2 linked regions of the Cricetulus griseus genome follow. The protein of the gene in region 1 interacts with the protein of each later gene in a pairwise test. Links are inferred from orthologs where the notes say so. Each region holds a gene or a part of one and is shown in the gene's direction. Other genes may lie near its edges.

Region 1 (7,604 bases):
ATGGGCTCTGGAGTTAATTATCAGTCTTCATGGCAAGCCCCTTTACCACCAGATTGTCTTACCAGCCTGATTTCTTGGACTTTTGAGATAGGGTCCCACTATGTAGCCCAGGCTGATCTGGAATGAATGATCTTCCTGCCTCTGTTTCCTAGTACTGTTGTTATGGACATAGGCCACCATGCCTGGCTTACTTATTTTATGTGCAGTTGTTTTGCCTGTGTGTACATCTATGTGAGGGTTCCAGATCCTTGGAACTGGAATTGCAGTCAGTTGTGAGATGTCAAGTGGGTGCTGGGAATTGAACCCAAGTCCTCTGGAAGAGCAGACAGTACTCTTAAACTACTGAGCCATCTCTCTAGCCTCCTGCTTTTTGGGTTTTTGATTGTTTGTTTGTTTTACAATATTTGGCTCTTATTTTCTAATTTTAAAATTTTTATCTATTCTACAGATACTAGGTACCTTAATGTGCTCTGGTCACTATTTTGGCAGTGATAATTTATCAGTGAACCTAGCAAATGGTCTCTGCCCTCATGGAATGTCCTCATGAGAATTGGAATTTCAACAGTGCAGTTTAAAATGTTACTGAAATGTCACTGAAATGTCACGAAATTTAACAGCTGATGCTCAGTTGTGTAGACCTAATGTAATGGCATCTACTATATTATGGGACACTTACCTACTACCCTGCTGTCTTAAACATACTCGGATGAAATTACAAAGTTTTGTGTAGAACCACAATTATTTTATTATGATAAATTCTTAGAATTAGTGGCTCAAAATATGTATGCATTTAAATGAAATATTAGTCTTTTTTTTTTCCAAATAGCAGTTTCTGTTAAAGTATTAATGGGGACTGGAATGTAGCTCATTGCCAGGATCATAGTAGCAGTTAGGCAGGCATAGTGCTGGAGCAGCACCTTTGAGCTTAACATCCTTATCTATAAGCAGGAAGCAGAGAGAACCGACTGGAAATGCCTCGAGGCTTTTGAAACCTCAAAGCCCACCCCAGTGACACATCTCTTCCAACAAGGCCACACCTCTAATCCTTGACAAACAATTCCACCAACTGAGGATCAAACCGTTCAAATATGAGCCTATGGGGTCATTCTCATTCAAACCACTGCAGCTACTTAGTGAGTTCAGGGCCAGTCTAGGAATATGAAACTGTGTCAGAAAATCAATTAAAAATTTTAAAATGTACATTAAATGAAAATTTAAAGGGAACTTGTATGCCTGAACTGTTAGAATCCTAGAAACAAGTATATACTAATTTCTGCAGTTCTCATCATTTGTAACCATATATTCTTTTTGATTTTATTATAAATTATGTATATGTTTGTAGTGGGTATATACACTAGAGGCATCATATTCCACTGAAGCTAGAGTTGAAGGCAATTTTGAGCTACCCAACATGGGTGCTGGGAACTGAACTCAGGTCCTCTACAAGAACAATTTGTCATCTTAGTCATGGAGCCATGTCTCCTGCCTATATATTCTTATTTTTATGTCACTCCCACTATTCTGTTACTATTCTGGTTTCAAATTTAATTTTGACAGTATATTTCATGATATTCTAAACAAAGTATCTTCTAATGTCATTGTGTTTCCTTTTTAATATGTTGTTTTAGAGAGATGTTTGTTCATATTCTAGTCTTTTTTAATTATTTTGTATCATTTATTTATGTATATGTAAGATTATTCCCTGTGGAAACCAGAAAAGGACATAGGACCTCTGGATTCCCCTGCCTGCACTTCTCCAGCGCTAGGGATCGAACCCAGAGCTTTGTGCATGCTAGACAGCTCTACTCAACCCAGCTGCACCTCCAGCCTTCTTGGTTCCCTTTAGTGAAGGCTGCCATGTTATCTGAGAGAGAGAGACAGAGAGAGAGAGAGACAGAGAGAGACAGAGAGAATGAGAATGAGATTATGTCTATATAGGGGTGTGGAGGAATGCTCTGGGTATTAAATTCAAGGTGTTAAGTGTGCTAGGTAACATTGTACCACTGAGCTATATCACTATCCTTCCATTGAATTTTGATTTGGTATAATTTCAGTTCATCATTGAAGGGTCTTAGAGTTACTGACAGACTTTGCTATGTAAGTAACACCATGATAATCTTTGTACGCATCATTTTTTCACTTGAATTTGTGCATTTGAGGGGGGTTGGATTTTTGAGACAGGGTTTCTCTGTGTGGCCTGGCTGTCTTGAAACTCACTCTGTAAACCAGGCTAACCTTGAACTCAAACATCACCTGCCTCTGCCTTCCAAGTGCTGAGATTAAAGGCATGTACTACTACTACCCAGCTGAATTGGTGCATTTCTTTAGGAGTCCCAGTATGATAAGGTCAAGGATCTGATGAAAGTTGAGGTTCTTTTCTCCTATATTAAGAGTTTTGCTGGGTGGTGGTAGTGTGTACCTCTGAGTTTGAGACCATCCTGGTCTACATAATGAGATCCAGGACAGCCAGGACCGCACAGAGAAACCCTGTCTCATGACCTCATTTAAGCCTCATAAACACATGGAAAGGTGATAACTGAGGTCAGATATATGTGGTGTGCCTGTCTAGGTGCACACACAGAGCCAAAACCCAACCTGGGTGCTACCCAAGTCTCTGCTCTTGACTGCTAGACAGCAGCCCTTTACCTTCTCAGGCTCTGCTTGCTCAAGCATCATCATCAACCAATACAAGTCAGAGACCCCAGGAAGCCCGAGGCTTTAGCCCTGATGGCTGAGGACAGACCTAGGGTTATAAGCACCTGCAGCTGCTAGTAGTCTAGTATATCTGTCTTTTTTATTTTTGTTCTCTTAAGGTTTCACTGTGGAGCCCTGTCTTTGTTAGCTAGAGCTCAATATGTAGTCCAGGCTGACCTTGAACTCCCAGAGATCCAGCTGCCTCTGCCTCCCAAGTGCTGGGATTAGTGCATGCCACCATTCCAGTACCCTAACACCCCTGTCTTTCTATTATTTCATCATTTGTTCTAAAGAGCTCACCAGAAGTAAAAAGGAAGGAAAAGAGTTTGTAAGTTGTGCACTTGATTAAGTTGGCTGTATGTAAAGGCTCTTTGTCATGCAAGCCCAGTGACCTTTGTTCAATCCCCAGAACTCACATAGATGAAGAGGGTACTGACTCCACAAAGTTGTCCTTTGACCTCATGTGCACCGTGAAACATGTGCAATACACATAGGCACACTATATACAATTAAAACACATCTTTTTGAGTTTGGATTTTCAGATCAGATCGGGTTTAGTCTTCTGTAAAATGCTAATGCAAGAATTAAACATAAGCTGACACCCTAGGAGGTACTCATCTGTGATTCCAGCACTCAGGATGCTGAGGCAGGAGCATTGCAAATGTGAGGCCAGCCTACGCCACCTGTGAGATCCTGTCAGAGTTGGGATAAGGGAAAGGAAAGGCTGGATTTGAGTATCCTGTGCCAGGAGACTTTGCACTCAGACAGAGGTGTTGTTTATTAACAGCTGTTGTTTTGAGGAGTCCATCCTTGGAAAAGATCTCGTGTGGTGAATATGTTTGGGGGAAGAAACCAAGGCTGCTGTACAAACTGCTGACAGTGGCTGTTTAGGAAGATCTCTGACTTTAATTATCCAACTACCACCACTTAGCTTAAAATAATCTTTTGTTGTTGTTGTTGTTTTGTTTTTTTTGTTTTTTTTCTAGACAGGGTTTCTCTGTATTGCTTTGGAGGTTTGGAACTCACTCTATAGACCAGGCTGGCTCGAGCTCACAGAGATCCACCTGCCTCTTGCTTCTCGAGTGCTGGGATTAAAGGCATGTGCCACCAATGCCCTGCTTAAGATAATTTTTTTATGGCAAGGTCCTGTTGTGTATCCTGGGTTGGCTTTGAACTCAATATGTAGCTGAGGATGACCTGGAACTTCTGATCATCCTATGTTTACTTTGTGAGTGCTGTGATGATAGGTGTGTGCCACCATGCCTGACTTATGCTGTGCTTTATATTAAATCCAGGGCTATACCCAACAGCATCTGAAGGTTTTAAGGGAAATGCTTACCCATATCTTGACAAACATACTCATATTGTTATGTATGGGTGTTTAAGAAGTTTGACCGTTAAAATCACAAGGTTTACTATCTTGTTGCATAAATGAGCACCAGGGTCCTTGGAGAACATTTTACAAGATTTTGTTTGACTGATATTATTGACCAGAGTTCCATCTTTTTTGTTATTGCCTATAGTATATAGTTTGTAATATTCCTTTGCATTTGGGTATGACACTAATTGCCAAGGGTATTATATAAATAGCATGTTGGAAATTTTCCTGGCTAATGTGGAACCCTGGAAAATGATCTAAACATACTGATAAAAGTGTGTTTCACTTCTCGTCAGAGTGGGCTCTTTTTGCACCATATAGCTCCTTAGATTGGAGCTAAGGCTAGAAGGTCAGAGGTGCCTTTAGTGTTCCTTCACTCTGGGGCCTAGATGGGAGGAAGAGCTGAGGCCCTAGTTTGTGGAAAAGGGACAAGAAGAAATGTATGTGTCATATGCGCTATGATGTAAGACATAGTTTGAGAAATGTGAAATAAATCTGCTTATTTTTCTTAATTGCTTTTCTTCTCCACAGGGATTTCAAGGATTTGGATTTGGAGACGGTGGCTTTCAGATGTCTTTTGGAATCGGAGCATTTCCATTTGGGATATTTGCCACAGCATTTAACATAAACGATGGACGGCCTCCTCCAGGTAAGCCCCATTTCTCACAAACATAAATAATCCTGCTTGAAAACTCCTTGGAATTCAGCAGTATAGAAGTTACAGATAATTGTCAGTACATGGGTATCAGGCTTTGCAAACTCCCTTAATTCTTTGCAGATTACCACACTCATCCAGCAATTCTGAGCACATGCCATGTGCTAGGTATATGTGGGATGCTTTATGTTATATTACATACTGAGGGGCTCATCATCTGCACTCCAAATACCTATGCAGTTAGCTGCTTTATAGGTAAAATTCTCAGTAATGATTCCAAGACATAGCCCATGACCATTAGACTTAAGAATTATTAGCCAGCGTTGGTGGCACACGCCTTTAATCCCAGCACTGGGGAGGCAGAGGCAGGTGGATCTTTGTGAGTTCGAGACCAGCCTGGTGTACAAGAGCTAGTTGCAGGATAGACTCCAAAGCCACAGAGAAACCCTGTCTCGAAAAACCAAAAAAAAAAAAAAAAAAAAAAAAAAAGAATTATAGACAATACCTAGCTAATGAAAAGCTTAATTCTCTCTCTCTCTCTCCCTATCTCCCTCTCTCTCTATCTCTCTCTGTCTCTCTCTCTCTGTCTCTCTCTCTCTGTCTCTCTCTCTCTGTCTCTCTCTCTCTGTCTCTCTCTCTCTCTCTCTCTCTCTCTCTCTCTCTGTCTTTGATCATTTGAGGCCAGGGAGAAATGAAATGTTAGGGTTTCCTGTTCCCTGGCATCTCTGCCCAGCTTCTCTCAGGACACAAAACGGGGCTGATACCAAACTTGAAAGCTTTGTGAACTGTGTTCATATCTATTACCTGCTGCTGCATTTCTCCCTTCAGCTACTTGTCTATAACAGCTGCATTCAGAGTACAGCAAGGCAGCAAGGTGTATGCTAGACTGACACTCTGACACCTGAGCCACCATTCATGTCATGGAGCCTATAAAAGATGATATGGTTAGTTGAGCCCTTCTTACAGTCATTGGAGCCTTCTGGGACTTGAGTACAGTATGAGGAACAGAAGTGACCAGTGTAGCTCTGGTCAGGAACTTGTGCTCTGAATATGATCACCCACTCAGAAATCATCAAAGCTGTTCCCTGCTTCACCTGATTCCTTGAACATAGGCAATAAACCTCTTGGTTGCCTGCCTGCATGAGTTTATCAGAGCAACCAACTTTGAGGTAATGACATGCAACCCCACAAAATACTGGGCACTACTCCATCTTATCTGCCTGGAATGTTTCTCTGCTGTTCACACATTGTTTTCTCAGAGAAAGGGAACCCCAAAGGGCAGGATGTAATTTGCCATAAAGGAAAGACAGATCCCTGTAGCGGCAACAGGAACTTCTGACTAGCTTGATGCTTTCTAGCCTGGTCCAGCATTCAGACTGGCTCTCCCCCAGTTCATTCCCAGCCAGGCTGGGCTCTGGATCATTTTTTGTTGTCACAGTTTGGTATAGTTTGCACTGCCTGGATGTAGATCCTGTCACTTTGCTTCCTCTATAGTCTGAGCAGAGAACTCTTAACTAGAAGAGGTTCTCACTCAGTCTCCTTCTACCTTACCATATGATTTCTAGGCCCTGGTTCTCTTCTGGAAAAAACATGCACACAGACAGACAGAGAGCCATCTGGAATAGTGTACAGAGAGGCAGGAGAGTGCCACTGCTCATGTGTGAGCCCTTATGGTCTCAGAAGGCCCATGCTTTGCTTCTGCTACTGCTTTTTAAATGAGACCTACCAAGTATTACCATGCATGTGGCAGCATAGGGAAGACAGGTAAGAGGGTGTCTGTTCCCTGCGGGGAGTCCCTGATAGTCTACTGGCTCACTTGCATGTACAGGACAGCTCTTTTGAGATCACTGGAGAGCAAGGTCTTATTGTAGTAGTTCACTTATTTTTGTTTTGGTTCAAGCTTGGGAGTCTTTTTATTACAGGATTCTGTTATTAAAAGGAAACAAAGATTCATCCTCTCCAGTTCTGGCCCCAATGGGCAGTATGCACACAGACTTCTGACAAAGTCTCTTCCTCTTGTCTCTCTAGCTGTCCCTGGGACACCCCAGTACGTGGATGAGCAGTTCCTGTCTCGCCTCTTCCTGTTTGTAGCCCTGGTGATCATGTTCTGGCTCCTGATCGCCTAATACAGGACCCCTATTCGCATCTACAGCAGCACCTCTGGACTGGTGATATGCCACACCTGCTCCTGGTGTTTGACTTGTTTAATCCCAACCCCTGGAATCAAGGGTCAGAAACACATCAAGGAGTCTTGCTTCTCCATTAGAGCTTTGAACTCAAAACCAGTTGGTGAGGAAACTTCCCCAGTTTCACTACTGCTGTAAACACCCTCTATAACCTCAGGTCTTGTGTTGGATCACCTCTCATGGGTGACAATGTGAAGTCCTGTTGCAGCCTTCTCAGCAGGTCCCAGCTCTACATGGGGAAGAGATGGGAAGAGAAAAACAGTTTCTTTCACCAGAACTTTATATTACAAAAATGAAGGGATGAACCAAATGGTATTTATGGAAACTTACTTTCATCTTTTTTAAATACCCTTGGTAAGTGGACTCCACTCCCTATACTGAGAGATTCCCTTCCAGATTCCACTTCTATTCTGTCTGCCTTCCTGCCCTCCCCTTCCTCAACAAAGAAGGTCATAATTGCAGCATTAGAAGCTGAAGATGCTGTGTGACATTGTGAGACTCTGGTCTTTGATTGGCTCTGGGCCTCTGTCAGTTTCTTGACCTTAGAAAGCAGCTTGACCTCCTGGTTTCTTGGCCGATTATCCCTGGTATCACTTGGGTCAGATTTCCTGTCAGCTTTTTCCTCTAAACTACTGCTGCATTTGAACCATCTACTCTGCTTCAGAGCTTTGATGCAGGGACAGCGGGGCAA
Region 2 (7,704 bases), on another chromosome or scaffold:
ACTGAGCCACCTTGACAGTCTCCAAAATGTGTATTAGCATCCTCATCTTGCCAAAAGGTTTGGACTTAAGAATTACCACACACCAGAGGTGATAGCACACACCTTTAATTCCAGCATACAGAAAGCAAAGACAGGGATCTCTGAGTTCCAGGACAGCCAGGTCCCCACAGAGAAACCCTGTCTCAAAAAACCCAAAAACCCAACCAAACAAAAAGAACTACCACACTTTCTGTACATCTGACAACAAAAGATAGAGACAAAACATACCACCAGGACTGGGGGTAGCTCAGTGTACAACAGATCTTAAACAAATCATGACAAAGAGGACTGGTTGATCCTCAGCCTTTATTGACTAGCCACAGGCCACCTGACACTGGTAGTCTTGCTTTCCTAATGTTTTAGCTTGAACTTTGCCAGATCCAACCTATGTGTCCCACCTTGTTCCTTTGCACAGAACTGTTTGAAGGGTCCCTGCAGTGTAATGACATATGACTGCATGTAGGCTTTGGGAGCTTTCCTCTGTGCTTCCAATTGCTGCCATACACCTAACACTGACATCTGTTCACTTCCATATCTATCTCCTGCACTGATGGTATTACACAATGTTACCAGTTAAGAGAAGCTAGGTCCAAGGGCCTCAAGGACTAAATAGAAACTATTAAACAAAACAAAAAAATCCCAAGAAGACCGGAGAAGGGGCTGGAGAGATGACTCAGAGGTTAAGAGCACTGACTACTCTTCCAGGGGACCTGAGTTCAATTCCCAGCAAACACAGGGTGGCTCATGACTATCTATAATGAAATCTGGTGCCCTCTTCTGGTATGCAGGCAGAACATTGTATACATAATAAATAAATACATTTTTAAAAAAATTTAGAAAAAATAATTTAAAAAATGGGGTTGGAGAGTGGCTCAGAGGTTAAGAGCACTTCCTGTTCTTCCAGAGTTCAACTCTCAGCAACCTCATGGTGGGTCACAAACATCTGTAATGAGACCTGATGCCTTATTCTGGCCTGCAGGCATACATGCAGATAGAAAAGTGCATACATTAAAAAAAAAAAAAAAAAAAGCCTTGGGGGTTCAGTGCTTGCCCTGTATGTACAAGACCCCGTCTTTGATGTCTAGTACTCAACAATAATAAAGTGTACAGCAGAACCCTTTCTCCCCCCATCTGGGAAGTGCAGGCAAGTCACCCTTTGCTACACAGTAGGCTATTATGCATGGACTGTGTACACTGTGGTGGACTGGAGCTGAGGCAGGAGGATTTAGGGTCAGTCTGGGTTCTTTGGGAGTCCTAGTCTCAAAACCCAACCAAATAAACAATAACCCCCAAACAAAAAGTTCTTTTTTGTTCTGTTTTACAGTGCTGGGATTGGAAGCCAAGAACCCAGGCACGCTAGGCAAGTGCTCTACCACTGAAGTACATCCCCGTCGACAACAGGCTACCCCATACAGGCTCCTTACTAGTACTTCTGGTGGTTATAAATATAACACGGACAAATGCTTCAGCTCTTCTCCATGTTCAAGACCAGTCCTTCAGCTGTTCTCCATCTCCAAGATCAGGAAAGCTTTCAATTAGCTTCGGCTAATGAAACAGACGGAGCGAGAAGGTCTTCCCACAAAACCACACCGAGCAGAGTTTACAACCAGCCATCTCATCCGTTGCATCCACTCGTGGCAAACAGTCTGCCTGAACCTGGAGACCTGGGGTTTCATCTGGAAACCTCGGCCTGCACCAGTGAATTGGCCTCGCTCAGCGCCAGTCTATCCTTTTTTTCCTTTTGCAAGACCTGCTCTTCCCACAGCGCCTGGTCCACCTGGTCATCAGTGAGCACAATCGGCTTGTACTTCTCCTCGAACAGCCTCTCGTTGGCCTCGGAATGCAGCTGGTGGGGCCCGACGACACGGAGGTGCGCAGGCAGGTGAAGAAACTCGTCGTCGTTAATGTCGCAATCCTGCATGCGGTTCTCCAGGATCCACCAACGGCCCAGGAACCCCACGTCGAGGACCCGACCGGGGAAGTCGATCCAACGCGGCTGCAGGTAGCGGCAGCGGGCCTGGTAGAGGCTGGCCTGGGCATCGAAGGGCGCCTCGTACACCAGCGAGCAGAGCCCCAGGTTCACGTGGCGCAGCCGCCCGCGGCCTCTCAGCCACAGCAGGCGCTGCAAGAACGCTTCCGAGTGACGGTTACGCGTGGCCGGCGCCAGCAGCAGGAGGGACCCCGACGCGTCGAGCAAGGCCTCTTCGAAGGTGGCCTCGCCAGGGGCCAGGGCGCAGCACGCCGCGGCGCCGCCCAACAGCCCCACGTAGACTGCCGCGCGGCCTGGCCGGGCCCGAGCCGCCGCCGCCGCGTCTCTGCAGGCCTCGGCGTAATCGCGAAGCAGCGCGCGGGTCCAAGTGCCTGAAGGAAAGACGCCAGCGCGGAGGTGACAGCGATCCGGGCACGCGGGCCGCCCCCCACCCCCGCCGCCACCCCCGCCGCCACTACTCACCCAGTCGCGCCCACAGCCCTGGCTTCGCCGCCACCGTCGCGGCAGCATTCGCCTCTCCTCGCGCTTCACTGCGCCCAGCGGACCCGAGCCTCTTGAGAGCGGCGGTGGCCATCCTCTTCCCGCCGTCCGTTGGCCAGCGGAAAAGCATAGCGGCGGAACCAAAGGTGCGGAGTGGCTCCTGCGCACGCGCAAGGTACCGGAAGTAGTTTCTCACTGAAAACCGGAAGCCGGGCTGGCGCCGGATGTTGCCGTTGCATGAAGAGTGGGCTCTGACGGGTACGCTGGCCGCACGCACGCGCACGGAGGATGGGCCACGCCAGCTTAGGTAGCCTTAGGTGAGGAGGGCGGGGTGCACCTGGCCCAGGGCTGGTCTCACTCCAGGTGTTCGGTAGGCTCCAGGCAGGACTGTAGGCGGAAGCATCAATCCTGGGGAGGGCTGAGGGACTGATGCAGTTCTGTCCACACAGCGCAATGCGGTGACGCCTCAAAAGAATCATGGCAGCGGCTGACGCACTGGCCTTCCATGGTGAGTGGGGCCGGGAAGTGGTCAGAGCTCCTACTCCTGTCCTAGGATAAAACTCCAGGCAGCTGGGACCTAGATCCCAGCGTGAACCTGGGGTTCATCCCGTACTCAGTCAATCCCTGCTCCCACTATAAACTCAGAGGCACATCAGAGCCTCCAAGTCTGCCTAGAACCTAACCTGAACCCCATCTTAGTCGAGAAACAGACTTCTCTATGCGTCAAAATTGAAGAAACGCAGTCCTTAGGGAGTGTAGTGAGGCAACCACAGCCCGGGGTGATGGTCAAGAGATTTTCAGAATCCAAACACCTGTGCCCATTTTCTCTGACCGTAGAGTTCGAAGAAGCCACAAATCTTCTGGCAGAGACCCCAGATGCAGCCACCACTAGCCAAAGTGATGCCCTGACCTCACGGGAGCACGTGACTGTGGTCGTGGGATCAGGTATTGGCTATGGAGCCGAAGTGGTGGAGGAAGAGGGCGATAGAGCATCGGTAAGTCCCCTGGGCCCCGCATGCCATGCCTGTCCATAGCTGGGCTGAGAGGCAGCTTCTGAAAGTTTGTGTCTTGTAGCTTCTACAGGAAGAAAAGCCACAGCCAAGATTCTGGACGTTTGACTACTATCAAAGCTTCTTTGATGTGGACACCTCCCAGGTGAGGCCTGGGACATTGGTTGTTTGGGGCTCAGCCACTGTATTTGGATGGACTGTGTGTGTGGTAGGGCCGGAAGGCAAGGTAGATGGGTGGGTGGGTATGGGTCTGAAAGCCAGTGTCTTCTCTCAGCCTCCTGGGTAGGTAGGGCCACAAATGGCACCACTTGGCCTGGATGAAAGCTCCATTAATGAGCTGAAGTTTGGGTCTTGGCCCGAGGCGATGGGGAGTTATGGAAGATTTTAGAGCAGGAGAGGGATGAGTAGAATAAGCAGATACAGATGTGGAACACAGGGCAGCCTCTGCTAATAAACCACATCTACTGAGAGGGCACATCCTGGAGATGTAGGAGGAAGAACATCCAGAATTTATGGACTGTCCTTACTGTGGCTGGGAGGAGAGGCTGCAAGAAGTTGAGAGAGGGGCTGACAATATGGCTCAGAGGTTAAAAGTACTGACTGCTCATCTAGAGAACCTGGGGGTTCAATTTCCAGCACCCACATGGTGGCTCACAACTGTTTGTAACTCCAGCTCCAGGGGACTTGACATGCACGGCAAAACACCAATGCACATTAAAAAAAATTTTAAAAAGAAATGGCATTCCCAAAAGCCTACATTCAGAGTAGTGACTTGTTCAGCAGGAGGTAGGGGTGTCAAGACCACAAGCCATAGAGACACCCAATGAACAGCTTGGAGGGGACAACTGAGCTTGTTTCAGTTAGGATGTAGTGGCAAAATAGTAGAAATCTACAGGGGCTATATCTCTCAGAATGCATGGATTTTCATTCTGGATCCTGGCTTTGCTCTCCAGGTCTTGGACCGGATTAAAGGTTCGCTGCTGCCCCACCCTGGCCACAACTTTGTGAGGTACCATCTTAGAAATCGGCCTGACCTATATGGTAAATGAGGCTATGTGTTTGATTTAACATACAAGGGTCTGTGCCAGGCCCTGAGCAGGGCAGTCAGTCATAAAGAAAATTTGTGTCTAGTTGAGGGAGACACCAGGATGGGAAGCAGGGCTAACACAGAGGATGAGTGGCATCACTGCCTGGTACAGAGAAGTCAGGAAGGCCTTTGAGTAGGGTAGGCAAATGAGTTTTGTTGGCATTGGTGGAGAAAAGCTTAGAAGGGAACCCAGAAAGTTTCTGGGACCCATGGTGGAAATAAAACTGAGTTGCATGGTGGCATAGGTCCCTGGAGTGGAAGGAACAGCTGGGAGCTCATGGGTAGGGGATGAGTACAGTGGTCCCATAACATCGCAAGAAGGGATCCTGGTGTGAAATTTTTAGAAAGATCTCCTCTGGCACTGTCGAAATTAATGGTAGAAGCCAGCTAGAGGAGGCAGGGGCAGACATTACAGTGGAGGCTGTAAGTGCAGAGTGATTGGTTCTAGAGTGGGAAAGGCAAGGGTGGTCTTCTACCCAGTCCACCAAGAGGAACGTCTGGGCAGGTATGAGGAGCAGATCAGGGGTACAGGGGCTGAGGACACACATATGAAGTTCAAAAATAAGCATGCAGTTCAGGGCCTGAAGCAACTTTGGAATGGACAGCTGAAGGTAGCATTCATGAAACCTTAGGTATGGACAAGATCCTGCCCACAGTGGAAAAGCACCAAGACTATTCTACCTATAAAGAACTTTCTTAGATAATGGGTGGTGGTAGAACAGGCCTTTAGTCCCAGCACTTGGGAGGCAGAGGCAAGTGGATCTCAGTGAGTTTGAGGCCAGCCTGATCTACAAAGTGAGTTCCAGTACACCCAGGACTGTTTAAAAAAAAAAAAAAAAAAAAACAAGCCAAGTGCTTGAGGGATTTTGGAAGTTATTTCTAGAAAGACAGGATGAGCCCAGAGGCAGCTCTTATTACCAGCCATCTGGAGAGTCAAATGCAGTCTGGGGTCTTACCACACTTAAAACAGGACATAGCTAACCTTTCCTAGGAGTGATGAACCTGGGACTCCATGTCCCTTTTGCAGGCCCTTTCTGGATCTGTGCTACGTTGGCCTTTGTCCTGGCAGTTACTGGCAACCTCACTTTGGTGCTTGCACAGAGGCGGGACCCCTCCATCCACTACAGCCCCCAGTTCCACAAGGGTAAGCAGAATGGGTGGGCTCAGCTCCTGGCTGCATGGGCCGCAGGGCATGCAGTAACTGCCCATGTTGCATTCCTAGTGACTATAGCTGGCATCACCATCTACTGCTATGCGTGGCTAGTGCCACTGGCACTGTGGGGCTTCCTTCGGTGGCGTCAGGGCACAAGGGAGCACATGGGGCTGTACACCTTCCTGGAGACGGTTTGTGTTTATGGCTACTCACTCTTTGTCTTCATCCCCACCGTGGTGAGTGTGGCTTGGCCCTGGGGACTGGTGGGAAGCTGAATGGCACCCCCTGTATGGTCACCAGTTACACTTGTCACACTAGGTCCTGTGGCTTATCCCAGTGGAGTGGCTGCAGTGGCTCTTTGGAGCACTGGCCCTGGCCCTGTCAGCTGCCGGGCTGGTGTTCACCCTGTGGCCTGTTGTTCGAGAGGATACAAGGCTGGTGGCTGCAGCACTGCTGTCCACTGTGGTGCTGCTTCACGCCCTCTTGGCTCTAGGTTGTAAGGTAGGGTCCTTCCTCAGCAGGGCTGTGGAGTGGGGCTTGCTGCTACCCAGCTGCACATTCACCCTGACATCTCTCTGCAGCTGTACTTCTTCCAGCCATTGCCCCTGGAACATGTGATACCAGCACCCCAAGCCACACTTCTATCTCCCAGTGTCCTGCTGCCCACCTCAGCCCGGTCCATGACAACCTTCTAGGAAAGCCAGGCCTGCAGGTGAGGGGCCAGTTTCTGTTGTGGCTAAGGGTTCACCTTCTTCCTCCTGGGGCCACTGCTAGCAGTCTCTCTTTTCCAGGTCAAACCCCAGGGGCTACGACCTGTCCTGCCCTCCCTGTGAAGATTAGAGGAGTCTTGGACCCTGGAGACCACCCTGCTACTTTGCAGGCTTTTCTTACAAAGCAAACACTTTTATTTTCTATGCAAAGGTGATCCAGAGAATTTATATAAAGGTGGGGGGGGCAGCCGAGCAGGAAATATTACTGATGGACAGAAGAGCCCGGTTTCCCAGCCTGCCTGTGGGCCCTGTTTCCCTTACAGGTCAGGGGGTGGCACAGGGCAGGTCCAGCCATTGCCAGGAGTACCTGTGGTGGGCATGGGCCCAGCCTGGGCTCTGGCCACTGAGGTGGGGACTCTAGGGCAAAGGAGCAGGGGAGAAACTGCCTTTCCTTCCTTGTTTGCTTTTCTTCTTGTTCTGTCTGGAGGGAGAGGTTCCTGCTAGGCCCCTTCTCAGGGGTGCTGTCTTGAGAGGAGGAAGTAGAGCATGAATGTGGAGTGCACACACAGGCCTATGTTAGCTATCAGGGAGAGGATGCCCTCCTTCCTTCTGTGACAGATCCTTGAGGTTTTTGTCTACCCCACTGGCCCTAGGTGACTTTCCCTCTGGGCTGCCTGTTCCAGGTTTTGGTGGAGGGGGACTTTAGGGCTCAGGACAGGACAGTAGCAGGAAGCAGAGGCTAGAGGCCTTTGGACAGCTGGGAGTTTTGTACATTCAAGTGTGAGGTGAACCCTTTGGTGAGAGGGGATTACGTCCGCCCTGAAGGCTTGACAGGGCCACCCCTCACCTAGAACCTCTGGGCCTAGGGACAGGGGCTGCTGGCTGGGCCCGGCCAGCCGGGTTTCTCAGAGGGTCTGTGGGTTGACACTGGTTCTTTTCGTAAAAAAATAAAATTAAAAAAAGCAGCATGTCACGCCCATGGTGACCATGTGGCCTGGTAGTTGAGAGGTCCAGCTGGCTGTGCTGCCACCCTAGGTGAGGGGTAGGTGCAAGGACGGGTTGGGGGATGGGTGCTGCCAGGTCTTATGGTGGCAGCTACTGGCCTCCTCCTGCCTGTTCAGGTGCAGCTGTAAGAGTGGGGTGGGGTGGGAGGGGGCTTGCCTCTTCCAGCAGATGTCAAAGCCAGGTCAGAGTGGAGAGGGCAGAACAGGATGAGGGCTGCCCTGACAGGATCT

Evidence for each region.
Region 2: the proteins of Rnf185 (region 1) and Yipf2 interact in binary tests that used the Homo sapiens proteins (3 or more experiments, as listed by UniProt). The two-hybrid records come from large-scale screens. The link is inferred for Cricetulus griseus from reciprocal best matches to the Homo sapiens genes RNF185 and YIPF2.

The regions. Positions count from the first base shown.
Region 1 is NW_023276807.1:101,475,882-101,483,485, forward strand, and holds part of Rnf185 (E3 ubiquitin-protein ligase RNF185), read left to right. Parts: intron 1-4,603; coding exon 4,604-4,721; intron 4,722-6,755; coding exon 6,756-6,853; 3' UTR 6,854-7,604. UniProt on the Homo sapiens protein: E3 ubiquitin-protein ligase that regulates selective mitochondrial autophagy by mediating 'Lys-63'-linked polyubiquitination of BNIP1.
Region 2 is NC_048597.1:134,467,101-134,474,804, reverse strand, and holds Yipf2 (protein YIPF2), read left to right. Parts: upstream 1-2,676; 5' UTR 2,677-2,767; exon of another isoform or gene 2,768-2,958; 5' UTR 2,959-2,986; coding exon 2,987-3,017; intron 3,018-3,346; coding exon 3,347-3,504; intron 3,505-3,583; coding exon 3,584-3,664; intron 3,665-4,472; coding exon 4,473-4,560; intron 4,561-5,633; coding exon 5,634-5,750; intron 5,751-5,828; coding exon 5,829-5,995; intron 5,996-6,077; coding exon 6,078-6,260; intron 6,261-6,340; coding exon 6,341-6,454; 3' UTR 6,455-6,471; exon of another isoform or gene 6,472-6,473; intron 6,474-6,550; 3' UTR 6,551-7,434; downstream 7,435-7,704. Other genes in the region: Timm29 (mitochondrial import inner membrane translocase subunit Tim29), read right to left, coding at 1,712-2,400, 2,492-2,639.